Rattus norvegicus: one gene and its partners. The protein of the gene in region 7 interacts with the protein of the main gene of each other region in a pairwise test. Links are inferred from orthologs where the notes say so. Each region holds a gene or a part of one and is shown on either strand. Other genes may lie near its edges. The genes, in order: Csrnp1, Rad54b, Pnma1, Atxn1, Obi1, Ssna1 and Tceanc.

Region 1 (4,271 bases), on a different chromosome or scaffold from region 7:
GCCAACCCGGGCTTATCATCTACCAGACCAGAGAACTGCATTCAAAGAGGAAGCATCTTGCTATCATGACCATGAATTTATAAATCCTTTGTACAGTTTTCTTTCATTTTAATTCTTTACATGTAGCAAAGACAATATAATCCCCTGTTTAAATGTATAACAAAGAACTGGAGAAATGACTCGCAGTTAAGAGCCCTGGTGCCCATAGGAGAGGTCGCAGCCAAGGAACTCAGTTTCAGGAGATCTAACGCCCTCTTCTGGCCTGCTCAGGTATAACATGCATGTGGTACATGGATATACAGGCAAAATACTCATACACTATAGACATACATTATAGACCTTTTCCTTTATACTTTAAATGTTCCGCAACAGACCCAGAATGTGTCTGTCTATCTGTCTGTCTGTCTCCCTCTCTGAAATTATTGATTATATGGATAACAAGTTGTAGGACCTGGTTCTCCCACCATGTGGGTTTGAACTCAGGAACCCAACATCAGGCTTGGCCGAGAGCACCTTTACATGTTGAGCCACCCCAGTGGCATTAATTGTTGTTGTTGTTTCCAAACTTATTTTTGTACATGATTCCCCCCCCCCCCCAAGACAGGGTTTCTCTGTGTAGCCTCTGCTGTTCTGGAACTAACTCTGTAGACCAGGCTGGCCTTGAACTCAGAGATCTGCCCACCTCTGCCTCCTGAGTGCTGGGATTAAAGGCCATGTGCCACCACTGCCCAGGCTCAAATTTACTAAGTGCGTGTGCGAGTGTATGTCACCTGGGTGTGGGTGCTCTTGAAGTTCAGAAAGTGCCAGATCCCAAGTACTAGGAGCTACAGGTGGTTGTCAGTGATCTGATGTGGGTGAGAAGGACCAAACTCAGGTCCTCTGCAAGAGCAGGATTCTCCGGTGCCATCTTGGCCCGTGTTTACGTTCTCTTGAGACAGGGTCTCACTGTATAACACAGACTGTCCTAGAACTTGATACGTAGACCAGATTGGCCTTGACCCACCAGGTTTTGTCTCTCAAGAACTGGAATTAAAGGCATACATCATCATTTATCTCAAGATGGCTAGGACTGGTTCTATAGCAGGAGACACTGAGTCCCTAGCCCTTCCCCAGTACTGGGAATATAGGTGTTTGCCACTATGCTGAGTGACTTCAAGTTAACATATTAACTTTGTACTCAACTACCTGAGGAAATTCCTTCTACAAGGTTTTCTGTTTGTAATATTAGGTTCCAGGCATTAACAAAATCACACTTGTTTCAAAAAAAAAGTGTAACACACAGGTATGCATATAAGACATGAACAGAACAGTTATGGTTTCAAAACTTCACAGGGAGATGTGCTTAAAAACATTCCCCTTGTAGGGGAAAACTGTTTAAAATGGTTCTTGAAGTAGAAAGAGCTTGTTGAAAATCAAAGGCTGTCTTTTTTTTTTTTTTAAGATTTATTATTTATTTTATGCATGTTGAGTACTCTGTTGCTGTCTTCAGACACACCAGAAGAGGGCATCAGATCCCATTACAGATGGTTGTGAGCCACCATGTGGTTGCTGGGATTTGAACTCAGGACCTCTGGAAGAGCAGCCAGTGCCCTTAACCATTGAGTCATCTCTCCAGCCCCAAAGGCTGTTTTTACATTATAAAGACAAGGCAGGTTTGTACAATATTTAGAAATATATTTCTATATATTTATGTAACAATAATAAAAAAGAGACCATGAGTTGGAAAGAGGGTAAGGACAGATATATGGGAAGGTTTAGAGGGAAGGATAGGGGAAATGGTGTAATTATAATTTCAAAAATAAAAAAACCCTTTTTTAAAGAGAATCACTTTCAGTTTGAAATCAAAATTATACAAGCTTGAAAGATAACTAGGAAGTCAGCCATGATGGAGCGGAGCGCATCCGTAACCCCTGTACTCCGGAGGCAGATGCCATGCGGTTGGAAGAGAGAGTCTTTTTTTTTTTTTAACTTAAAATAAGATAAGATAAAGGGTGAAAAGAAAACTATTCAGGAAAAACCCTTTTGGGGACATTCGGGGGGGAAAAAAGCTAAAAAGCAAGGAAGAGGGAAGTGGCCTAGCAGGCCAGTGTACAGTGTTCGTGGGGTGTGTGAGGAGAAGGATGAGCCCCAGCGGGCTTCCTGGAAGGGGCAGGTATGTTGGGAAACAGAGATGCAACACCCCTGGAAAGGCCCCAGAGCCACTCAGGGAACAACATCTCCGACAGCACAACCCCCACAGTCAACAGGAAGTCAAAGTGCCTCTGCAGAGTGGGACAGTCATAAGACTTCACAGAAGGAGGTACCCTGAGGGGGCTATGGAGGCCAAAAAGGCCAATTACAGCCTTAGGGAAGGAAGAAGCAGGGGGTGGGGGCTAGGGGTGGGGGGTGCGTGGTAGGGGGTGCCCAGGACAGGAGACTCACGCATTAAACTCTGGATGCCACTGGAGTCCTGATCAGGCTGGGGTGGCTGATCACCCAGTCCCTCCTCCTCAGAGGTCCAGGCAGGGGAGGCAGAAGAGCTGGGAGGAGAGGGAGAGAGATCGCCAGAGGACAAGGAGGAGGAGCTGCAGTCGTCCTCTTCCAGCTGGTCAAACTTCCTCTTCTGTATCCCAGCCATGGTGGGATGTAGGGGTTCCAAGCAGCTGAGGACAGACGGCCTGGAATGAAGAGGATGGAACTGTTCCGTGGTAGGCTCCCAGCCTAGCCATGTTTTCTCCACCCGCAACTTACCTTCCAGGGTATCTCCCAGACTCTGAACCCTCCAGCCCGGGTTCATGGTAGTGTCTCCAGTACAGTCTCCAGCCCCAAATGAGTCTAACATGAGCCCCTCCCTCAAATGAGTCTAACATGCAAATCCAAATCCCAGGGACTTTGGCCTCCCAAGACCTGGCCCCTTGATAACAAGTCTTCTATGGAAAACAGCCAGGTACCTTCCCCATTGCCACCTACACACACACACACACACACACACACACACACACACTCGAGCACACACACGCACACACACGCCAGCAGGCAGACAGACCAACAGATGGACTGACAGAACTCTGGCCTGGCTCATCTTCACAGGAACCCTGGAGGCTGACTCACAGGCGCTCAGATCTTTGTGCACTTGCCTGTGCAGGGCCTTCTGCAATCTCCAGAGGCCCCCTCTAAGGGCAGCGCTCCTCTCTGACCACACAGGTCCACCGCCTTGCTGACTGACAGCTTCGGGTCCACACTCCTGGGCCAGGCTGGGCAGGAGCTCTGAGAATGGGCGCTGGTTTTGATGTTGGCTCCATTCCCAGCAGAAGGACTTTCCCAAGCTCCTCCCCCCTAGATGGAGCTTAGATTTTCCCTCAGAAACCCCCATGCCACAGGAGAAAAGTCCCCTGCTCTAGGCTGGACTGTGGGAAGACTTGACTTTGATCTTAAACTCACCTCCAATATCTAACCTCTATGGTTAATTCTCCTTAGAACAAAGCAGAACCTCAGAGTGAAACTGACTAGGAAGGTGGCTCTCCACTCTCCTGTTTCCCTTGCTCGTTTGTAGCTTCTCTGGACACCCCCACCCCCCCAGGATGCAATCACTCACCAGTCAGGCTCCTTCCCTAACCCTCCAGTGCTTGGACAAGTAACAGTCTTTCCAGGACTTGGGGACCCTCAGAGGGTTCAAGGATGGTGGCTGAGTGCAGCTACCTGCCGTGAGGCTGGCTTGAGTCTGTGGTACTCACTCATTCAGGGTTGAATGCCCACAGCTGGGACCCTTCCCCCACCATCATCACGGGAAGTGAAAGAGGCAGGGAAACCAAGCAGAAAGCTGTCTGGGTCTCCTCCACTGAGGTAGCCTGAGGTCCCCTCTCCTAGTCCAAGCCTCTGGCAGGTCCTAAATCCGAGGGCACCAGCTACAACTCCCTGGATAAAAGCACTCATGGGAGAGTGACAGCCATCTCCTCCAGGCAGACATGGGAGAGGCTCAAGAAAAATCTTACTACCAGGCCAGCCCCCCCCCCGGGGGGGGGGGAGGCCAAGCAGGTGTTTCCGGGGCAGTTTCTCAGGCTAGGTTACCAGGCTTCCCAGTGTCAAACCACAAACACAAACAGCCCAGTTAACCTGTAGACTCTCCCAGGATGAGGGTGTTTGGTCGTGAACCAGGCACCACACACACGTGCACAAGCACTCTTACCACAGACACACTCTTACACACAAGTTGACAGGTAGCCCCTAAACATCCTGTCACCACTGCAGCCTAATGCATGGGGGGTGGGGGAGATGGAGGGAAAAAAAAGACA
Region 2 (3,500 bases), on a different chromosome or scaffold from region 7:
TTGAGTTAGCAAAATTGCATTGGTTAGAAATAATGGATATGCTAGCCATGGTGGTGACACATGCCTTAATCCCAGCACTTGAGAGACAGAGGCAGGTAGATCTCTGAGAGATCAAGGCCAGCCTGGTCTACAAAGTAAGTTCTAGGATAGCTAGGGCTATTCAGAGAAACTCTTTCTTGAAAAACAAACAAAGTTTTATAATTTGTGGCCACACAGAATATGGAGGATATTATGTAAGTGAAATAAGCAACTGTAGGATTTCATTTGTATGTAATATCTATAAATGTTAAGTGAAAGGCAGAACATGGCAGCCACCAGGGAGGGGATGGGGTGGGATATGGGGGAGGTGTCAGTTAAGACATAATGTTTAAGTTGTACAACACGATATGTATAAATTTGTCAAATAAAATAAATGAAGGAAAAATAGAACTTTTTAATCTGAAAAAAAGAAAAAACTCTGTAAGCATATTTTTTACTCAGCTTGCCATGTTAATTAAAGCAGTCATTAAAATATAATTTTACATATTTCTAGACATTGGAATAGTAGCTTTAATTTCTAAGGTCCCAAGGTTTTTACAGTGATATGTTACACTATTTCAGTTGAATGTGTGTAGCTTATGGGTGACAGAGCATTGCACTCATTACACTCATGATAATGCTTGCACCCAGTATGTCGACTGCTCAGTTTCTTAAATACCAAAATGAACATGTCACATACTGAGTTGATTCTCTCCTACCACGTGTGTTCCTGGGACCAAACCACTTGTCAGGCTTAACAGTGGGCGCCTTTACTCCCTGAACCGGCCCACTGACCCAGATACTTTTATATTCTTTCTTAATGCATTCTGATTTCCTTGTGCATATAGTCATTATTGTTGTTATTATTATAGACAGACTCTTCAGACAGCATAGGTGTGACCTTGAACTGATCCTCTTGCCCCTACCGCCAGCATTCTGGGATTGCTGGTGGAACCCATGCCGTGGTATTGGTGTGCCGATTTGCTTTTGTTTGAATGAGCTTGATACTTAGAAATTAGTCATCCCCAATAATAATGTTTTAAATTTCCTTTTTATTTCAGTTCACTTGGCCTCTAAAGAAATCATAGAGTCCAAGGCACAAGAAGAGGAAGCTAGCAGCTTGCTTAAATATTTCAGTGTCGTTTGGTGTAAAGCTTCAAAGAAAAAACACAAGAAATGGGAAGGCGATGCTATTCTTATTGTAAAAGGAAGGTCGTTCATATTGAAAGATATGGAAGGAAAAGATATTGGAAGAGGTATTATGATATATGTTATTCGTATTTATGATTTGGTCAAAATATTAGTATATTTTTGGTGCCGTACAATTGAAACACAGTTGGGCTTGATAAAGGGACAGATTGAGATGTTATTTAATTGAATGTTGTGCCTCAACTTTGTATGATACATAATGTTTTTCATAATAGTGACCCAAATACTCTTATGAGCTATGCTAGTCCATTAGGGTACATTCTGTCCAGTTTTCTCTGAAGGGAGCCCACCAGCCTTAGCGGTCTTAGCACTCTTCTGAGACTGAGGCGTTTGTCTTGGTCATCCCCTCCCCCAGTGCTAAGTGATTGAAATTGTTAAGAGTGGCCATTAGTAGACATTTAGTGCTGTCCAGTTTCAGTACTACTCAATAAAAATTTCAAATACAGAATAAGGAGATCCACACAGCTAAGTTGGAGGGTGCCATTGTTTCAGAGTAACGTGTCCTAGTACAGAGCAGTCTGCAGGTCCAGAGTGTGTCACATGAGTGTTTTTATTTTGTCCTCTATTGTTTAGTTTTGAGTTTGGCCAGACTATAAAATCTTTTGTATATATTCGTTCACTCACGTAAGGATATAGTTTATAGTTTGTTTAATTTTCAGCTTATATGCTAGCTCCTAGGACTAAAGATTCAAAGTAAGAATAATTTATAGCTTTGTTAGGAGAAGTTACTGTAACTGATAGTTGGAAGTGGTGAGATAACTGTTTCAGTGAGAATTCCTGCTAGCTGGAATGTGACAGGGCCAGCTTTTCCATTGCTGCAACCAGGGAGGGCCAGCTGTGTTCAGCCCTCCAACATCAACTGGGTCACAGGCGACACCTCGGCCACAGTCATCTGTGTGACCTTTGGTAACATGGGCAGTGGATATGGACACAGACCCCTGCTGCTGCAGGCTGTGGATCCAGACATGGCCCTCGGCAGTAGGCCAGGACCCCACCATGGCCTCAGGGTGTTCCTCACCACCCTTGCATCCCCAGCCCCTTCTTTCTGTCTGCATTGTGCACATATCATTTTGCTTCTGTTTCCCTCCACCTCTGATTTTCCCACCTCTGGTACCTGGGGCCTCTGGGTGTCTTCTACCCCTCCATGACTTATAGCATGGTTAGGGGGCAGAGGTGGAGTAGGAATGGGTTTGGGGGGAGGTGGGGGGTGTTGTCTCAGTTGGGTTAATTTCTTAAATACTTTAAAAAACTTATCTACTTATTTATTTATCTCTTTTGTGTGTATGGGGGAGACCACACATGTGCAGTGGTGTATGTATGTGTGGAGGGAGGTTAGAAGACAACTTTTGGGAGTTGGCAAACTCTGGGCTAGCTTGCCCTAGAACTTTCAAGCAATTCTCCTGTTCCAGATTTTTCATCTTACCATAGGAGTGCTGGGAAGTGGGTGTGAGAGAGTTACTTCTTAGTTAAAAAGTACATATTGCTCTTCCCTTGACCTCAGTTGACTTTCCAGCACCTACATAGGTGCATATATTGTTTATATATAAGTAAATAATAAATCTTATAAAAAGTGCTGATATTATAGACACTACTGAATTAAAAAATATTTAGCTTTTTATTTATTTTTTTAATTTTATTTTTCTTGGATATTTTATGTATTTATATTTCAAATGTTATTCCCCTTTCCCCCTCACCCATAATCCCTCCCCACTCCCCCTGCTTCTATGAGGATGCTCCTATTCCCACTCACCCCCTCCCACCTCAGTGCCCTGGCATCCCCTACACTGGGGAAACAAGCTTCACAGGACCAAGGGCCTCTCCTCCTATTGGTACCAGACAATGCCGTCCTCTGCTACATGCAGTTGGAGCCATGGGTCCCTCCATGTGTGCTCTTTGGTTGGTGGTTTAATCCCTGGGAGCTTTGGGGGTCTGGTTGGTTGATGTTCTTCCTATGGGTTGCAAACACCTTCAGCTCCTTCAGTCCTTTCTCTAACTCCTCCATTCGGGGTACATTTGGCTTTTTAGTTTTGGGAATTAAACTTGAGTCATTAGGCTCGCTCACCTGGCATGTTGAGCTATTTTCTGGCTTTTTTTAAAAAAATCAGAATGATAAATTGTGTTTCTGTCTGATGAAATTTATATGTAATTTATATGCAGTGCATAATGTTTATTTTGTACAGTCATGGAAAGGTGGCTATTTTATTAATAAGTTTTCTTAGAATGTCAGTACAATTAATTGTTTCTGTTTTTCTTAAAGGCATTGGATATAAATT
Region 3 (3,723 bases), on a different chromosome or scaffold from region 7:
GCATGTCAGGAAAAAAGAGAATTTTCAAATTTTTTTTGTATCCATCTATTCAATAACTTCAAACTTAGAACCCTTAGCATCAATATGACCAATAATGACAAATATTTGAAGTGAGGAAGTGTAGCTTGTCCAGGGCCATTCCCCCTATGACTTACATCTGTATCTTCCACTGTGAAGGATTTATTGTGCACTCTATAAAAACACATCTTTCTAACCCGCCACTTCTAATCTGGGGATACTTTTCAGGGAAACTGATTCCAGTGTTGAGCCACGAGGAATTAGAAATCTGCATTTTCAAGATGAGTAATATCTAAAAGTCGCATTCTTTCCATGGATACAAATTAGCAACAATTTACAGTAAAGCTGTCCACAGTGTTAGTAACAAATAAATACAAGAGTTTGTAGTGTACAGCCTGTGAACCGGGCATGTACTTAGCATCAGAACTTGCAGTTTCACAAACATCGTGACAGGAAGGATCGCAGCTTCATGTTTCTCACAGCTGTCAGAGATGTCACCAGGAGGGCTGGCATCACTGTAGCACTATGAACCGCCTTTACTCCTGCTAATTACACAATTCTGTGAATGCTACAGGAATATGCGGGCCTGACTTTCTCATCCCATTCCTCAGAAAACAAAACAAAGGCAGGAGGAGGCTGGCTGTTTACTTTAAGGGACAGGCTTACTAAAACTTCACAGGAATATCAAAAGCAGCCTGGCCAGTCCTGGGATTCAGAAGTGCCCCTCTAGGCCTAGCTGCAAAAGGGCAGCCTCGGCCTCCTCCTCCTCCTCTTTGGCTTCCTCCTCTCGAATCTGCACCAGTAACTGGAAGAGGTTGGGTGCAGGCCCTTCTGTAGCCCCAGTCAGCCACAACTGCCTTCGGAGGGCCCCGCTGTGGTTGGCCCCAGCGATGACCTGTTCCAGGCGAGCCTGGTTCACGTTATCTTTATCAATGGCCCCCTTGTCCACTACCTTTTGCAGCAGAGGCTCCAGACGGATAACGTAAGAAGATAACTTTTCTCCTGGGTTTTGGTAAGTGTTCAGAAATCTGACCTGTGCATCTCTAGAGCTCTCCACGCTCCCAAACACCTGCTCAAGAGCCTTCAGGCATTCTGCCGTGGTTATAGCAGGGTTGTTGGTCTTGAGGATGCGAATGACATCGGCAGCCGGGCCTCGCAAACTCTCCATCAACCGCCGTCTCTTTTCTATATCAGACACCTGCCATTCCTCTATGACTTCATTCGAGTGCTCCAGCCAGGAATCAAAGGTCTCCTCGCCAGGCCCGGGAATGTCCCTCCCGGAGAACAAAGTCAGCTTCTTATACCATATGGACTCAACAAGAGGTTGAATAACATTATCCAAAATATAGTTGAGCATCTCTGCTGGCATTTCCGGGCCTGGGGCTGGAGCAGGGTTCTGAAACCCAAGCACACGAGCAACATCTTGCACCGTCCACCCTTCCCTAGCTAGAAAGAGGTGCAGCCTTTCCAAAAACTCCGCGTCGGAAGTGGGGGGCTTAAACACTACTTTCCAGAGCCCTCCTTTGCCTGGCATCTCCCTGGGGATCAGGGAGTAATCCACCGTCCCAGTGAGCTCTAACAAGGCTGCTTTCGCATTTTCTTCCCTCCAGAACATTCTCCCCAGTACTCGATAGGATACCTGGGGCATCGCAGCTTGGAGGGTCTCTTCGATTTCGGTCTCATCACAGTTCACAGGGATCCCCCAGACCAACAGAGCTCTCTGAGAGTTCACATCCATTCCCCTGCACCAGTCTTCCAATAGTGTCATAGCCATTTCGCCCAACTATTAAGAGTGCCAGTTCTACAGACTGTGCTTGGACTGGCTCACGGTGCTGCTGTTGGGCTTAGGACAACATGCTCTCCTCCCCCGGTAGGCCAGGGGGCGACAAGCTTCAAGCAACCACAATTACCAAAAGACACCAGAGTTCCTTCTGGTCCCTTCCGGGTCCCAAGTCAGTGCCACGGGACACTCCGCCTATCACTCGAATGTCGCCCTTTTGGTCCGGGCAGGAGTGGACTGGCTGCGGCTGTGCCTTGCGTCACTGCTTTGAGAAGGGGAGGAAGGTGGGCTCAAGGCGGTTGGCTGCGGGCTGGAGATGACTGGGTGCGGTCGCGGGGCGTGGCAGCTCCTCCCACCTCTCCCTGGCCCGCGGGCGGCCGAGGGTTACTCGAGGCCGTGGCTCAGCTACACCGAGAGAGGCGGCACTCGAAGCACCGGGGACTGAGGCGGCAGGAAGCGCGAAGGAGGGAGGAACCGGGCTGGAGGCAGCTCTGCTCAGCGCTTATGGCCGCGCGCTCCAGCAACGGCCTCCGTGCAGCTGCACTGGAGGGCGGAACCGGTCCGCTCGCCTCCCCCAGTGTCACCGTGACAACTGTGTCCATGACGACGCGAGATGCGCGGGCTCCAGAGGATCTGGCGGTTGCTATGGTGCCAAGAAGGGGTTTGAGTAGTCTATTCTATGATGGTGCATTTCTTTTTACCCCTCCCCCATACTCGTACTTCCCAGATTCCTCCTTAACAATATTGCTAAGCATGTTTTGTTTTATTTAATTTTGCTGTGGATTTAAGTTGGCCTTATTGATACGCATCTACCACGACGGACTTGTCTCATATCCATTCTATGCATTCACTCTGCTGTGAAAACACTAAATCTGACTTCCGTGAACCACCAGATTACAGTCTGCAGCTTCTCCGTTCCTCCCCATAAGACTAGAAAAGAGGATTCCACCTACTGGTTCCTTTGAGTGTCTGACTTGGCTTTCTTGTCCAAAATTTGTGTGTGTGTGTGTGTGTGTGTGTGTGTGTGTGTGTGTGTGTGTCAAAACCTAAAGTTTGTGTGTGTGTGCACACCCTCCCCCCCACCGGATTACTTCTCTTTGTAGCCAAGCAAACTTCTTGTCCTTACTGAGTATACAGGATAGCAAAACAGACCGCTTAAGGCTCAGAAAGGGAGAAGTTCCCTATCAGTCAGTCCCAGCTGGCAAAAACACCCCTATAAGAACATGGCATTCAACAATGACTTTTTTAAAACCTTATTTAATAAAAGGTCTTAAGATACAGAACATTCAAAAGTAAATAAGTTACATGGGTACATTACAATCACATCCGCAAGATTCTCTTTAGTGTATTAATTTTTTTTATAAAAAGCACACAAAAAATAAAATTTTCGGTCTGGTCTATCACAACTGTACACAAAGAGGTAATATTTATATATATGTACACTATTTAATATGTAACAGTCTTTTTTAAAAAGAGTGCCACAGGCAACAAACACATGAAAGGCAGTGTCTGACCATTTTGTTTCAAAATAAAAGGAATATACTTACTTTATGCTATTAAAATATCTGTACAATAATTACAGTCAAGGCTGTTTCTGTGCTGTCCTCTCCAACAAGGCCTTTAATTTAAGAGACAAATGAAGAAGAGCTCTAACAGCTGCAAATTTTTTTTTTGAGGAAACAAACACAGCCAAATGTGGGTTAGACACAACTGTTTTTTTTATAAAAATATGCATACTTCCTGTAAAAACCTAAGGGTTTAGGCTTTGCCAGTCTAGTAATAAATAACAACCCAGAAAAGTGAGCCCCAATAAAAACACTTAAACAGCTGAGGCTGGAGTATGTGTTGTACTCTTCCCCTCCATCTTTAACATCTGGCACATGAGAAGAAAGAGGTTAGGTGACTGAGGCAGTTAAATATAGGCA
Region 4 (4,275 bases), on a different chromosome or scaffold from region 7:
ACACACACACACACACACACACACGGCATTTCTTTTTTAACTTCTGAAGTGCGGGCTCCACAATACAGTAGTTTAAAAGCTCACACGTTTCTCTCGGTGACTCTGTACGCTGCTTCAGATAGTGACTAACTGTTAGGTCCTACGTAAACTGAGCCAAAAGGTCTCTCAAATCCAGCTACAGTCAATAGTAGTGGCTTCCAGCGAGACCAAGGGATCAAGTTTCCAGACTCTTAGTTTTAAGCACCTGAAAGAGGTCAGATGCTGGCCTGACACCTACTGGTCTTCAAGAATTATCTGCAGCAAAGAGATCGCCACACCGAGCGACCCTCCTGGGGAGGTGCGGGCTCTTCCTTCGGATGCCACACCTGTTGGCAAGGTGCACTCCTCCGGAGAAGATTCCTTCCCACGGAGCTCACACCCGGCTGAGGTGTAGCCGGAGGGGGCGGGTGGGGACTCCGCGTCTGCGTTTAGCCACCGGGCCAAGGTGGGAAGTTCTTTCGCCTTGGATTCCCGAGAACCACCATCCACTGCTCAGTGCACGGGTTACCTCACTTGAGATGAGATGAATGGTCCACAGTTAGCTGTGAGGAGTGAGCAGCAGTTCGGTTACCAGGGCTAGAGCTGAGACGTTCGATGCTCATAGCAGATTTCTAGACCAGCAGAATTTGAAAGGAGGCCCAGGAGGTCGCCAGCTTGTCCAGGCAGGAAAGGTGAGGGTGCCGGTGCAAGCTGGGGAAGCCTGAGAACTTTCCGGAGTTGCAAGCCAAGGCAGAAGGCACCGGCCTAGCATCGGGTGGCTCAGGACTGGCGGGCTGGCTAGTTAACCGCGGGGATACAAAGAGTCCTCTTAGATGCTCACCAGGGGCACCCTGGGTGCTTCGTAATTAGAATCAGCCGACTTCCCCGCCCCCTTGGGTATTTTACCAGGTGGGAGTCAAAGCCTGACACCCGTTGCTCTGAGTCTCCCAGGTTGCCTGAGTTGCACCCTGCACTCACCCTGTCCCCCTCCAACTAGGTTGCAGGGAGCCGGGGAGGCGCGCGAGCACCGATCGGTCACCACTCCAATGACCTCATCGCCCCAACTTCCCCGCCCCTTTCTCAAACCTGGAAGGCACAGTTCCCTCCGGTCGGTGTCCGGGATCTGGAGTCGCAGTTGCGGAGAGACACCCGGCCTCCCCTGGAGCGAGCGCTGCCCCAGCCCGGGTGCATAGAAGGGTTAAGGGCGCGGGCCGGCAGCCGCGCCGTGCGCTCGCCGTGCTCTGTGCGGCTCGCCGGGCCGCCTGCCAGAGGGTGCCTCTCCCCCCCCCCCCCCCCATGAAGTCGGATCCTTGAGCTGCGGCGGCGGCAGCCAACTGCTCCATATTTGGCTTCTATTACACATTTACATACTGGAGCGAGCGAGCGAGCGCGAGAGAGAGCGCGAGGGAGGGAGGGCGGGCGGAGGGAGGAGGGAGGGGAGGGGGGAGGAGGAGGAGGAGGAGAGAGCAGAGTATACCGCAGACATCATTTCTACTACAGTGGAGGAGCCGTACAGGACCTGTTTCACTGCAGGGGGATCCAAAACAAGCCCCGTGGAGCCGCAGCTAGAGCTACAACAGCCGCAGGACACTGTGTCTCTCCCTCTGTTCCCCCTTCCCCACGCAACCCCAGATCCATTTACACTTTACAGTAAGTGGCTATTTTTTTTCCTCCTCTGATTCTTTCTCTCCCCCCTCCCCCTCCCCCCGATTTAGATTAAAATCACCTCCTCCCGCACCCCAATCCGCTCTCTCCGGAGAGGGGGCCAAAGAAACATCCAGCATAAAACCCCCCTCCCCCAGTCTCAATGGGCTGCACGGAAAACAGCTGGAAGAGGAGCGAAGGAAACCGACGCGTCGTGGTGTGTGTGTGTGTGTGTGTGTGTGTGTGTGTGTGTGTGTGTGTGTGTGTGTGTGTGTGTGGTGTGTGTGCAGGCGCGCGCGAGTGTATGTGTGACTGTGTACATACACCAGTGCCCGGCTCCTGCCTCCCGGCTCGGGACCCCCACTGGGAGCAGGAGCGGCTAGCAAGGGGAGCAGCTAGGGGCTGGGTGGGCGGCCGCCAGGAGAGGGGGCGCGCCCGGGCGGGGGGCGCGGGTGGGGAGAACGGCGGCGCCCCGCTCCGGCTGCTGCTGGTCCGGCGGCGGCGAGCGCATAGAGCCCCGTCCTCCTCCTTCCGTGTGGCGTAGGGGGAGGCGGCAGCCGCGGAGGGTCGCGCTGCCCTCTTCACTCCTCAACAGCCCCCCTCCCGAGTGGGGGCGGCGAGCGCTGCGGGGGCTCGAGGGAGGGCTGGGCTTCCCCGCCCGGGGTCGCCTAGCTTGAGAGAGGCAACCCCGAGCTTGGGGTCTCCCCGCCCAGGCCAGCGTCTCGGGGCCAGGAGGGGACCTAGAGGGGACTTGCAGGAGGCTCGGGGGCGCGGAGAGGTGGCGGCTCAGGGGGCAAGGGCACGCGGGCCATCGCAGCGCAGTGGGAGAGGCGACAGGGACCGGCCCTAGCTGCAGCCGCCACCGCCGCCCTGTTGGTGCGGCCGCTTCCTGATCCAAAGCAGCAGCAGCAGCAGCGGCAGCCGCCGCCACCGGAGCTGGAGCCGGGAGCCGGGAGCCGGGAGCCCGCGAGCGCCCCAGCTCGGCCCGGCGTCCCTGCCGGCGCCCGCGGCAGTAGCGGAGGAGCTGCGGGCGCTGCCCTGCGCCGGGACTGCTCTCCTGCGCGGCGGCAGGGAGGGTGAATGAAGACGGGAGGAGGGGAAGGAGGAGGCGGCGGCGGAGGAGGCGCTGCGGGGATTGGGATGTGCCCCGGAGCCCCGCGGCTCGTTCACTCGGGGCCCGAGACGCCGCCACTGCCCGGGCTGCCGCCGCCGCCGCCGCCTCCTACGTGGTTGCAGCCGAGCGCGCAGGCCAGTCCCGCAGGGGGTAGGGAAGGGGCCGGACGGGCGGAGCGAGAGGTGAGGCGGGGTCGGAGAGCAGGGAGTAAGTGCGTGTGAGTGTGTAGGTGCGTGTGTGTGTGTGTGTGTGTGTGTGTGTGTGTGTGTGTGTGTGTGTGTGTGTGTGCGTGCGCGTGTGTTCGCGCGCCGGGCGGGGGGCCAGGACCATCGCGATGGGGAGTGGGGTCCACAGTGGTCCCTTAGCTGACTCTGCAGCCCTTCGACCTCTCTTTAGCCACCTCCTTCAACTCTGTGGCTTGTGAGCTTTCATTTTATTTCAGACCACGTAGAGAGCTGACTGCAAGCGGTGAAACAATTCAGGTTTTCTAGAGAGATTGAGCAAGGACCTTAGTGGTGGGGGGTGGAAGTAGGGTGCTGGTCTAGACTCTACCAGGGGCGCCGGGTGGGGGTGGGGGGCGGGGTGGGAGAATCAGGGTTCTAAGACGAAAGGGTTTAGTTCGATCCCGTGGCTGTCCTGTTTTGTTTTTGCTTTCTTGCTGTATAATCCTACAGATAAGAGGGTAATATAAATACTTGGGAAGGTTGGGAAATTGTTGAAGAGTAGTAAGGGCGGAAAAAAAAAGAGCCAGTCGGAAGCTGGTTATATAATGCGCTATGTGGCTAACAAGAAAGGCAAGCTATTTTTATTTTGTTTACCGTATGTTGTGCAGTAGGAACTCCTCCAAACTGGTTCTGTCCCCGAAGAGATTTCTTAGTTTGTCAGAGAGAGAGTCACAGGATACAATTAGTAAAATTAGAAGACCCCACACCACCTACAGAAGAAAAAGTAATGCTTTAGAGCTCTCACCTCACATCCTGCCTGGCATGCAGGGGAATGTGTGTATGTCCTATGTTTCCCTGTAGCAATCTAGTGGTGTCATCTCAGTGACATTTCTGTTTTATAATGCGAGCTCTTCTTAATATTTAAACAGCATTGCTATAGATCGTAGGCAACAAGGTAGTTACAGGCTGGGTATTTTTAGGTACAGCTGGTTACTTTTTGCAAGAGTGTTTGCTAAACCATTTCTGTGTGGCTTTTTGAAGAGCCCTGTCATTCCTAGAAGCCCTCGTTAAGCCTAAACCTCTGGTTTATTGATGGTGGGTGGGTAGCTGAGACAGTTTGATAGCCGAGGGTTTTATTTTTATTTTTATTTTATTTTTGAATGAAGCTTATGCCAGCGGAAGCTAGAGGTAGCCACCAGAGAGAGGAAAAACATGCACAAGCCCTCTTGGAAAGGGATTGCACCATAACAGCTTAACTGTGGCATTTAATCTCCTCTGATTGTCCTCTAACTGGCCACGCATCAGTCAATATTTTAGCAGCTTTGCAAATAAGTG
Region 5 (3,500 bases), on a different chromosome or scaffold from region 7:
GGGTGGCTAGTTTGAGGCCAGCTTGGGCTCCATATCTAGGTCCAGACAAGCCTGGGCTATATAGTAAGAACTTGCCTCAAAACTCAAGCAAACACGTGTTTCTTTGCTAAGTAGTAATGGATCATGATTGTTAATGCACATAAGGCAGAGAGCACAGAGAAGGGGAGCTCCCTGTCCTTTCGACAGACACAGCTCCTCCACTTTGGTGTGGAGGCAACTACTGTATCTGCAGTTATAGTCACAGATGCATCCACCCCATGCTTCCTGGCCGCTAATGACAGCTAACGAGAATCCGTCCTCCTGCTGCATACCAATAATTACCCACGGCTCAGTCCTGCTCTCGCAAACTAGCTAATGGTGAGTCAGGCGGCTATTTATACTTGTGAAAGTGCTTAAAATATTATAGAACTAAAAATAATCACAATTGATTCCCCTCCCCAGACTACAACTTACCTCTTTTAACTTATCCACATCATCTTTAACTTTTTCATATATTTCATTGGCTGTTCTGAGTTTTTTCTTCCATTCTACTACTGATTCTGGGTCAATTTTACTTGGATTATCGGCCATTGGATGTTTGTCTTCGTTTTGACTGCCCTGCATCAAGGCTAAAGGATCCAGAATGGTCTTGATCTGTGACTCCAAGCTGAGATTTTTACTTTTAAGTTCTTCTACCTCTTTCTGCAAACAATCTATTTCATCCTAAAAAAGTGCAGAAGTCAATAATCAGATACAGATGAATGGCTTGTACATGCTAAGCCAGACTCGATTTGTTCTTGACTATTACACTCAAATTTTTATAAATACATGGGGATTTATATATAGTAAAAGTTTTGTTCAATTTAGATTTTTTTAAAGATTTATTCATTTATTATATATAAGTACACTGTAGCTGTCTTCAGACACACCAGAAGAGGGCATCCGATCCCATTACAGATGGTTGTGAGCCACCATGTGGTTGCTGGGAATTGAACTCAGGACCTCTGGAAGAGCAGTCGGGGCTCTTAACTACTGAGCCATCTCTCCAGCCCCCTCAATTTAGATTCTTAAAATGTATGTTGACCCTCACAAACATTGGCACAACACTTACTTAAAATGCTTACATTTTAATTCACAGACAGCTCTGGTTTAAAAAAAAAAGTTACAATCCTTTAATTTTGTGTAAGGTTTCATCAAGAAACTATGAAAAAACATGAATTTCAATAAAAAGTAGATTCCAATTCATAAGGAACATTTCAAGCATGTTAATTACTTTATAGAGAGAAATTTTAAAGTGTTGGTCAAAAGAGTCAATCAGAATTTTGTTTGATATTTTTCTTTTTGCTTCTATATCTGAAGTAGAAATAAAATCCTTCCTCTTTTCATCCCAGATTAATACCAACAGTGGGTCTTCAACCACTAGTCAGAGCTATTCCAAAATCTGCTATTCTACTCTGGAGCTGCTGTTCTTGAATGCAATTGCAAATATTTGGGATAGATTCTTCTGTGTAATACCATTTATGCATCTATAATGAACACAGCACCTTAATCTGAGACTTAAAGAGTCTATCAGAAAATAAAATCTAAGTTACTCCAAATGTCAGGGCTTGTCTGAATGCCCGCCCCATCTCCTGCTGAAATGCAGCTGCCATTGTGCCATTAAAGGGGGCGTACAACTAGAGCGCCGTGTTCTCTGTAGTCCTGTCTGTCCTTGAACTCAGTAGGTAGACCTGGGATTCCCAGAGACCTGCCTGCGCCTTCCTCCCAAGCACTGGAGTTGAGGGTGTGTGCCACTCCACCCAGCATAAGCAGCTGTGCTCTTTAAACTGATACAGTGGTGAATAAACACGCATGCATTTACACACTCGTCACTGTGGAAAGCACATGCAGGGAAGAACATTTACTCCATCACTTATACTCCAGCAGAAAAAAAAGCTGTCTGAGGCAACTGAGGTAGCTCACAACAAGCTGTAACTCCAGTTCCAGGGGACACAACCCCCTCTCCTGGCCTTGAGCACCTGGTACTCAACTGGTGCATAGGCACACATGCAAACAAAACATACGCAAAGACAAGAAGCATAAATTAAAAATTAATTCTAAAGAAAAGAAAGAAAAAAGTTTTCCATTCCTTTCTTTTCTCTGAAATCCTAGTCTCTCATTCTTTACTTAAATAAAATCATTCCTCTATTTAAAAGAGAAAAGGGAGAATTAATCAAATCTGTGTAGACTGGCACTGCAGGCTTCAGACCGGGCATGGTGGTGAACGTGTGTAATCTGAGCACTTAGAGAGCAGAGGCAGGAGAATCACAAGGCCCTCAAAAACCAAACAATCCCTGATGCCAACCCAGTCCCCCAAGAAAGGACCTGAGGGGACCCACACAGTTTCCTAGTTCTTGGCTCTCGCTGTGCAGACACTTAGAGCAGCCCTACCTCCAGCTCCTGAGGGGACCTCGAGCAAGGCGGCGCGGGCACACTCACCTCATACTCCCTGTGGAGCAACTCCAGCCGGGTCCTGCGCAGGTGCCTTCTCACAGTGTGGCTCAGCATGGGCTCGCTCTCACTGGTTCCTCCTGCACAGGAAAATCTCACTGTGGCTTTGTTTGGGCACAATGGACATCAGCCCTTTTCTTTTCTCATACTGTGTTACAAAGCTTCCCCGATAACCCCAGAAATAAAGTTTACACGAGTGAGGTTGGAGCGCTGGTCCAGTTAAAGATAATGTGGAGCCAATTAAGGTTTAAAAACATTAATGCCAAATTAGGCCGTGAGAGGAGTTTCAAACAGGAGCGGAAGCAGCACATTCAGACTCGGGGTGTTCTGCTTTTACTTCAGGGGCTACACTTCTGTTTTTCCTTAGTAAACATTAAACAGGAGTCTGTAAGTAGCCATAGGTGGACAATATGTTTCAGAAAACTTCATAAGTAGTTGTAGTGATCTAAAATTAGGGGGAATTGTCTGTCTGTGATAGAAATGGAAAGAAAGATTCCTGATTGAGTGCAAAAGACAGGGACTTTGGGGTCATTTGGGCCTTTCCCTTCCTTAACCCTGAGGAGACTCCATTAGCCAGCAGTCTAAGAAATACCTTCAGGAAAACATATTGCACTTGCATCACAGCATAACAAAGTCAATGGAAGAAAGGGCTACGTAGGGCTAAGTTACCAATCTTGAATATAGCAAACCTAAAAACAACTGTTAAACAAGAAAGCCAATCACTATATTTATATTTAAACAGACTATACAAGATTGGTGTGTGTGTGTACACACACACACACCAACCAGGAAATTAAAACAAGAACAAGTCTGGGTACTGGTGACACAACTGTCACAGGTTTTGATGACCAGTTACAATGGACTGACTCTCAGCATTAGCTTTGTACCCTGACTTGTAAGAAACACATTCAATATGAATTATTTCAGAGAGTTCTGAACTAATCCTGGGCTTACTGCCTTTGTAGTTAGCAGGATTATAGCAAACAAACAAACAAACAAACCAAAATAAAACAAACCAAAAAAACCAAAAA
Region 6 (3,110 bases), on a different chromosome or scaffold from region 7:
ACTGGTTTACAGTTTACTATGCTCACTTGAATAGCCTTGAACTTAAGGCTTCTTCCTCAACGAAGGGATGATAGGTGAAAACTACCACAGCTGTTTTCTGGATCTTCTTGGTCAACAAATACTTCCAAACTTCCCCAGAAGCTGTGCAAAGGGCTGGGTCATAGGGCACATGGAAACAGGAAGTAAGCAACAATGTGGTTGGGAGATGGGTCCTGGCAGCAGCAGTGTATTGGACCAAACAGAACTTTGTACTGAGAGATGAACTGTCCCTGTCTCTATCTCTGAGCCAGGCTCTGTATTGAGTACCATTGTACAGCAAAGCCCCTCACAGAATAGTAGTTTGTGTGCTGAACTTGGGGAAATATCAGCAGCAGCTTTTCAAGGAAAGTTCCAGGCTAGGGCTGACCTGAGTGAGGTGAGAACTTTTAGCTCTGTGCTCTGAAGATAGGAGAGTCAGGGAAAAGCTGCAGGTCTTCCTCCTACCAACAGGACACATGGTAGCTGGCAGGCCATGCCACAGATCTTGCAAAACAACCTTTATTGAAACACCAGAGGTCATGGGGATGGGCCCTAAGGTTTTGGTTCTGGAGCCAAGATTCTTTCTTCAATATGCCTGGCCTGGGGCCCTAGTGGCTGAGGAGACAAAGTGAGGGGCTCCCACAGTACCTGGACTAGGACCGAGACATTCCTGGCAGCCCAAGGAGATACAGGAGCTTCAGAAAGAGGCTCCTCATGGAGCTGACCAGGAGCTCAAGGTTCCAATAACACATGTGAGTGCGGAGCTGGGAACACATCTTCCATTGGACTGTCCTGGGGCTTGTCTTGTCACTCAAGGCAGGTGGAGGTCAGAAATTGACACTCAGGGCACCAGAGATAAAAGACATCTGAGGCCATGGAGAACAAAGATGCTTTAGGACAGACATGTTGGGGAGCAGCCATAGGCCACGGCTGAGACAGGGCTTGTCAGCTGTCTTTGCCTCCACTACTCTTCTGGTCTGAAGCCGTGGCTTTAGTCAGGTTCCCAGCTTCTCTTTTGAGTACACTAAGCAGAGTCTGAGAGCTCTCCAGGATCTGGGGCCAGAGAAATAGAAGGATGTTATTTCTCTGGTAAGAAGATTCCCACTGCCTCAGCCTCTGATAGTGGAGGATGGGAATCTCAGTCTGGCCATCTGTGCTGAGTCAACGGGTTATGGAGGATGGTGGGGGCAATAAAATTATCCTCCCTCCTGCACCTGTCCCAGAGCTCTTCCACCCTGCAAAGCCAGGCTGAGTTAGTTCACCCACCACTATGGTACTCTGTCCAGCACACCACTGCTCACTCTCTTGGATCCCACAAACAGCCCACTGTCCGGCCTACAGCCTCTGAACCACAATGGGCCCTACCTAGCCTCAGATGGTAGTGAGGCACTGACAACGCATATCTGAGAGCCCCACCTTGAGGTAGGCGGCCTCTGTCTCCGCAATGGTCCGGTCAAACTCGTTGCGAGAGGCGATCTTGCGCGCCAGGTTCTCGTTGACGCGGGCCAATTTCTCCGTGAGCTGCCTCACCTCATTCTGTAGCCGCTGCTTTTCGTCCTCCTCCTGCTGGATCTGCCGGCACAGCTCCTCTCGTTTCTGACACAACTCTTCGATGCCTAGGGTGGGCGGGAAGACAGAGCTGTAGGTTGGGGCTCGTGAACTTCGGACCCCGACCAGCACGACAGAGGGGAGGCCGCAGAGCGGAGCTCGTGAGGCATGTCGACGCAGCCTCCCGAGTGTGTGGGTTGGCCGGCCCCCGGCCCCGCGGCCTTCAGCGCCCGACGCTCACACTTGACCAACTCGTTGTTGTAGTTCTGCAGCGCCGCGCCCTGTTGGGTCATGGTCGGCACCGCGTCCGTAAGCCTCAACCGCCGCCTGCACCGCCAAGCCCGCGCCTGCGCACTGCCTACACAGCGCGCGCGAGCAAGCGAACGTCACGACTGCGCCACAGCCCGCGCTTGCGTCATCACCGTGCGCTACGCTGGGCGGGTCTGTTTTGTGGACAGTGATGGAGGCCGAGGGTGTGGCGGTATCGGTGGCGGCGGCGGCGGCGGCGACAACGACAATTGTCGCCACGGATGACTGCGACTCTAGGCCTGGACAGGAGCTCGTGGTTGCCTGGAATACTGTGAGCACCGGTCTGGTGCCGCCGGCTGCGCTGGGGCTGGTGAGGCCGGGGAAAGGTTGGCGGGCCTGTGCAGAGTTGCCACGACTTTGTCCTTTAGGGAGTCCATCCTTGGGTCCTCATAGCTCCCGTGCTCTGCCCGTAGTGGGCTTGCCTCCTTCCTCAGCTATCTGATTTGTTTGGTTTCCTGGCAGCCCTTCGGCTGCTGTTTTTTTCCACACCCCTCCTCTCCTTTTACCCCTGTTCCGCCCCTCTGCTCACGGTTTTCCGTGCTCCAGGCATCTTCCCGGACCAGCGGTGCAGTTCCACCAAAGGAGGAAGAGCTTCGTGCAGCGGTAGAAGTTCTGAGGGCCCACGGTCTGCACTCTGTCCTGGAGGAGTGGTTCGTGGAAGTGCTGCAGAATGACCTTCAAGGCAACATTGCCACGGAGTTCTGGAATGCCATCTCCCTTCGCGAAAACTCTGTCGATGAACCCCAATGCCTTGTGCTGCTCCTGGATGCGTTCGGTCTGCTGGAAAGCCGCTTGGATCCCTATCTGCATAGCCTAGAACTCCTAGAGAAATGGACTCGTCTGGGCTTGCTGATGGGCGCTGGAGCTCAGGGTCTTCGGGAGAAAGTTCACACTATGTTGCGGGGAGTCCTGTTTTTTTCCACCCCTAGGACATTCCAGGAGATGGTCCAGCGCCTCTATGGTCGTTTCCTGAGAGTCTATATGCAGAGCAAGAGAAAAGGAGAAGGGGGCACAGATCCAGAACTAGAGGGAGAGCTGGACAGCCGGTATGCCCGCCGCAGGTACTACCGACTTTTGCAGAGCCCTCTGTGTGCAGGATGTGGCAGTGACAAGCAGCAGTGCTGGTGCCGGCAGGCCCTGGAGCAGTTCAACCAGCTCAGCCAGGTCCTGTAAGTACTGCTTCCTGGCCATGCCTCAGTTTCTTTAAAAAGATCTCTGAATAGAGCTAATAAACT
Region 7 (3,041 bases):
CTCCAGTTCACTCTACCTGGGATGAGGCCCTAGCATTGCTTGATTTAGTTTTTGTTGACTTCCCTGGATGGTTCTGCTACACAGCCAGAAGTAAAAACTACCTGTGGTGATAACATGAAGCTATGTTTAGGGAGCTGTTGGAGCAAAGGCATACCTGTGAAATGGGGCCATGCCTGTGTGTGGTTGAGAGTGGTCAAGGCAGAGAGCCAGCCTGAGGTGTTATTCATCACTTCCACTCAGAGGCTCCATCCCATGGGTGGAGGGGATGGTCTCGGTCTGTCTGTCTCTTCTCTTCTCTTCTCTCTCTCTCTCTCTCTCTCTCTCTCTCTCTCTCTCTCTCTCTCTCTCTCACACACACACACACACACACACACAAGTTAATGAAGCCAAACTCTGCAAGGAAAACCATCTGTAACTCCAGTTCTAGGGGGCTCTGATACTTTCTTCTGGCTTCCACAGGTACTAGGTGGTACACATACATATAGACAGACAGGGAAAACATCCATACACATAAAATTACAAAAAAAAGAAAAGAATTTCCTTCAAAATTAATAAAGAAGACCCTATAATAGGAGAATTTCAAAAAAATACATATATATGGCATATGAATTTGTATAAAGGGAATGCTGGCATTATTTTTCACAACTTTTCTGTAAATCTAAAAGTATTTCCAAATAAAGAATAAGCAGGGCATCTGTATGTGACTCTGTTTTTCCAACAGCTCAAATGTCAGCACATTGAATCCTGTTGGATTTCAGGGTTCACTAGACCTGCTTCCCAACCTTTAATGCCCGTTTCTTTACATTGGTTCAGCCATTAACATCCCTCTTTTTTGTTTTGTTTCCTTTTTATACTAAAAAAGTACCACTACAAAGATTATAAAGCCATTAAGTATCTTAGTTCCTAGCTGATTATGAGAAGAAAATAGCTGAGTATTTGCTCAGCTTTGTCTTATGGAGGGATGCTCATGTGAACATGATTTTATACCCAAGATGATCATCACATTCTACCCAAGATTAGGCAGGGTCTCATGCATTCCAGACTAGCCTCAACTTTTCTGTGTGTGTCTAAAGATGGCAGTATATCCCTATTCCTGCTGACTCTACCCCACAAGTGCTAAGATTGCAAGCATATACCACCATGATAGCTTCCTGAATATTCTTAATCTAGATAGATACTGATTTGTACAGTTGGAGGTAGGAAAGTTATAGCTGATATTCTACAAAGTCTTTGAATGTTCTGCTTAAACTTTGCTGCGCCATTTTCCTTCTGTTGTTGAGAATAAAAGTCTTGAGAGTTGAGTAGTTCACATTACTGCGGTATCTACTTAGAGTACTCCTTCAGAAAACATCACATGAACAGCTGGCAGAAGTTCTAGTTTACTATTCAGCAGCTGCCGCTGGTAAAGGCAAGCTTAGAAAGATTGAACCATCTTTTTCTTTTTTTTTCTTTGCAGCTGTGAAAATGTCTGACAAGAACCAGATCATTGCCAGGGCTTCCTTGATTGAGCAACTGGTGTCTAAAAGGTATTTTGAGGATATTGGTAAACAGCTTACTGAGCTAGAAATGATTTATGTGTCTAAGGAGCATCTGCAGGAGACAGATGTGGTCAGAGCTGTTTACAGAGTCCTCAAAAACTGCCCATCAGTGACTTTAAAAAAGAAGGCCAAGTGTCTGCTGGCAAAGTGGAGAGGTTTCTATAAGAATACACACTTCAAAACAAGGGAAAGCCTTAAAGTACTCCATACAGATGTTAATAAGGAAGTAAGTGTTGCAGTTTCTCAGGATGAAAGCCAAGATGAGACACCAGGCTCTAGCCACAATGAGATATTGGGTCTCTGTAGTTCTCTCTCTAGGCTGTCACCCCAAGATGCTGCAAAGGCTGCTGCAGCATTTGGGTCTGAAAGTAGTGCTGCTCAAATGGAAATTAATGAAGGCTATTTGGAGGATGACTCTGAATCTCCGAGCAAGAGCTCAGGTGTGCTAGATAATCCCTTAGTGTCTGTGAGATCTAAGTGCATAGAACTTCTCTATAAAGCCTTAGCTAGTTCTTGCACAGATCACACAAAAGTTCACTTTTGGCAAAACTTAGCAAGACAAATTGAAGAGCACATTTTTACTCTTCATTCAAACGATATCAAAAAATATAAAAATAATATTCGAAGCAAAGTTGCCAATTTGAACAACCCCAGAAATTCTCATTTACAACAAAATTTGCTCTCTGGAACCATATCTGCAAGGGAATTTGCTGAAATGACTGTACTGGACATGGCAAACCAGGAGCTGAAGCAGTTGAGAGCTTCCTATATAGAATCCAGTATTCAGGAACATCACCTTCCCCAAATAGTTGATGGCACACACACAAATAAAATTAAGTGTAGGCGCTGTGATAAATACAACTGCACAGTCACTGTAATTGCCAGAGGAACACTTTTCCTTCCAAGTTGGGTGCAGAATTCAAACCCAGATGAACAAATGACCTATGTCATTTGTAATGAATGTGGGGAGCAGTGGTACCATAACGACTGGGTGTGCTTGTGATTTGTTAATAATCTTTTCAAGGACATATGTTTTAAATATAAAACATAACCTTCTGTGCTCGTTTTTCAACAAAATCTGAATCTTATTTTTGCCTTCGGGAGTTTGGTTTGTGAAAGACGTCAGTATATAGCCCAAGCTGGTCCATTCTCAGGAGTGCTTGCTTTACACCACACCTGCTTAATGCACTGTTCTTACTACAGTACTAAACCAAGGAGGGAGAGTTGTTTGCCAATGTGTAGGCCATAGAAGGCTATCACATTGTACTTTGTGGCCACTTAAGACTTGACTCAGAGTGGCACTGTGGCTCAACACAGCCTGAGAGCATGTTAGAGATGAAGACTCTTGCCTGGTGCTCCTTGAATCCTGATCTGTATTTTGGCAGAGTCTCCAAGTGATCCTCTGGGATACTTTGAGAATCACTGTGGTTCTCAGGAGTGACTATATATTAGAATTTTCTGAGAAGCATTGAAATGTACTGGTGCCAAGAGCCAAGCCCAGTG

The links.
Region 1: the proteins of Tceanc (region 7) and Csrnp1 interact in binary tests that used the Homo sapiens proteins (3 or more experiments, as listed by UniProt). The two-hybrid records come from large-scale screens. The link is inferred for Rattus norvegicus from reciprocal best matches to the Homo sapiens genes TCEANC and CSRNP1.
Region 2: the proteins of Tceanc (region 7) and Rad54b interact in a two-hybrid assay, tested with the Homo sapiens proteins (2 studies listed by BioGRID). The two-hybrid records come from large-scale screens. The link is inferred for Rattus norvegicus from reciprocal best matches to the Homo sapiens genes TCEANC and RAD54B.
Region 3: the proteins of Tceanc (region 7) and Pnma1 interact in binary tests that used the Homo sapiens proteins (3 or more experiments, as listed by UniProt). The two-hybrid records come from large-scale screens. The link is inferred for Rattus norvegicus from reciprocal best matches to the Homo sapiens genes TCEANC and PNMA1.
Region 4: the proteins of Tceanc (region 7) and Atxn1 interact in binary tests that used the Homo sapiens proteins (3 or more experiments, as listed by UniProt). The link is inferred for Rattus norvegicus from reciprocal best matches to the Homo sapiens genes TCEANC and ATXN1.
Region 5: the proteins of Tceanc (region 7) and Obi1 interact in binary tests that used the Homo sapiens proteins (3 or more experiments, as listed by UniProt). The two-hybrid records come from large-scale screens. The link is inferred for Rattus norvegicus from reciprocal best matches to the Homo sapiens genes TCEANC and OBI1.
Region 6: the proteins of Tceanc (region 7) and Ssna1 interact in binary tests that used the Homo sapiens proteins (3 or more experiments, as listed by UniProt). The two-hybrid records come from large-scale screens. The link is inferred for Rattus norvegicus from reciprocal best matches to the Homo sapiens genes TCEANC and SSNA1.

What each region holds. Positions count from the first base shown.
Region 1 is NC_086026.1:128,585,670-128,589,940, forward strand, and holds the start of Csrnp1 (cysteine/serine-rich nuclear protein 1), read right to left. Parts: upstream 2,801-4,271; 5' UTR 2,731-2,800; intron 2,658-2,730; coding exon of another isoform or gene 2,618-2,657; coding exon 2,422-2,617; intron 1-2,421. UniProt on the Homo sapiens protein: Binds to the consensus sequence 5'-AGAGTG-3' and has transcriptional activator activity. May have a tumor-suppressor function. May play a role in apoptosis.
Region 2 is NC_086023.1:29,867,465-29,870,964, forward strand, and holds part of Rad54b (fibrinogen silencer-binding protein), read left to right. Parts: intron 1-1,079; coding exon 1,080-1,274; intron 1,275-3,484; coding exon 3,485-3,500. UniProt on the Homo sapiens protein: Involved in DNA repair and mitotic recombination. May play an active role in recombination processes in concert with other members of the RAD52 epistasis group.
Region 3 is NC_086024.1:109,512,882-109,516,604, forward strand, and holds Pnma1 (paraneoplastic antigen Ma1 homolog), read right to left. Parts: upstream 2,287-3,723; 5' UTR 1,793-2,286; coding exon 731-1,792; 3' UTR 501-730; downstream 1-500.
Region 4 is NC_086035.1:18,942,294-18,946,568, forward strand, and holds the start of Atxn1 (ataxin-1), read left to right. Parts: upstream 1-1,475; 5' UTR 1,476-1,668; intron 1,669-1,725; exon of another isoform or gene 1,726-1,879; intron 1,880-2,816; exon of another isoform or gene 2,817-2,958; intron 2,959-2,994; exon of another isoform or gene 2,995-3,196; intron 3,197-3,356; exon of another isoform or gene 3,357-4,275. UniProt on the Homo sapiens protein: Chromatin-binding factor that repress Notch signaling in the absence of Notch intracellular domain by acting as a CBF1 corepressor. Binds to the HEY promoter and might assist, along with NCOR2, RBPJ-mediated repression. Binds RNA in vitro.
Region 5 is NC_086033.1:87,706,343-87,709,842, forward strand, and holds part of Obi1 (ORC ubiquitin ligase 1), read right to left. Parts: intron 2,550-3,500; coding exon 2,458-2,549; intron 703-2,457; coding exon 454-702; intron 1-453. UniProt on the Homo sapiens protein: E3 ubiquitin ligase essential for DNA replication origin activation during S phase.
Region 6 is NC_086021.1:28,482,607-28,485,716, forward strand, and holds Ssna1 (microtubule nucleation factor SSNA1), read right to left. Parts: upstream 1,966-3,110; 5' UTR 1,860-1,965; coding exon 1,808-1,859; intron 1,635-1,807; coding exon 1,435-1,634; intron 1,072-1,434; coding exon 964-1,071; 3' UTR 501-963; downstream 1-500. Other genes in the region: Anapc2 (anaphase-promoting complex subunit 2), read left to right, coding at 2,027-2,185, 2,422-3,044. UniProt on the Homo sapiens protein: Microtubule-binding protein which stabilizes dynamic microtubules by slowing growth and shrinkage at both plus and minus ends and serves as a sensor of microtubule damage, protecting microtubules from the microtubule-severing enzyme SPAST.
Region 7 is NC_086039.1:31,587,849-31,590,889, forward strand, and holds Tceanc (transcription elongation factor A N-terminal and central domain-containing protein), read left to right. Parts: upstream 1-1,464; coding exon 1,465-2,541; downstream 2,542-3,041.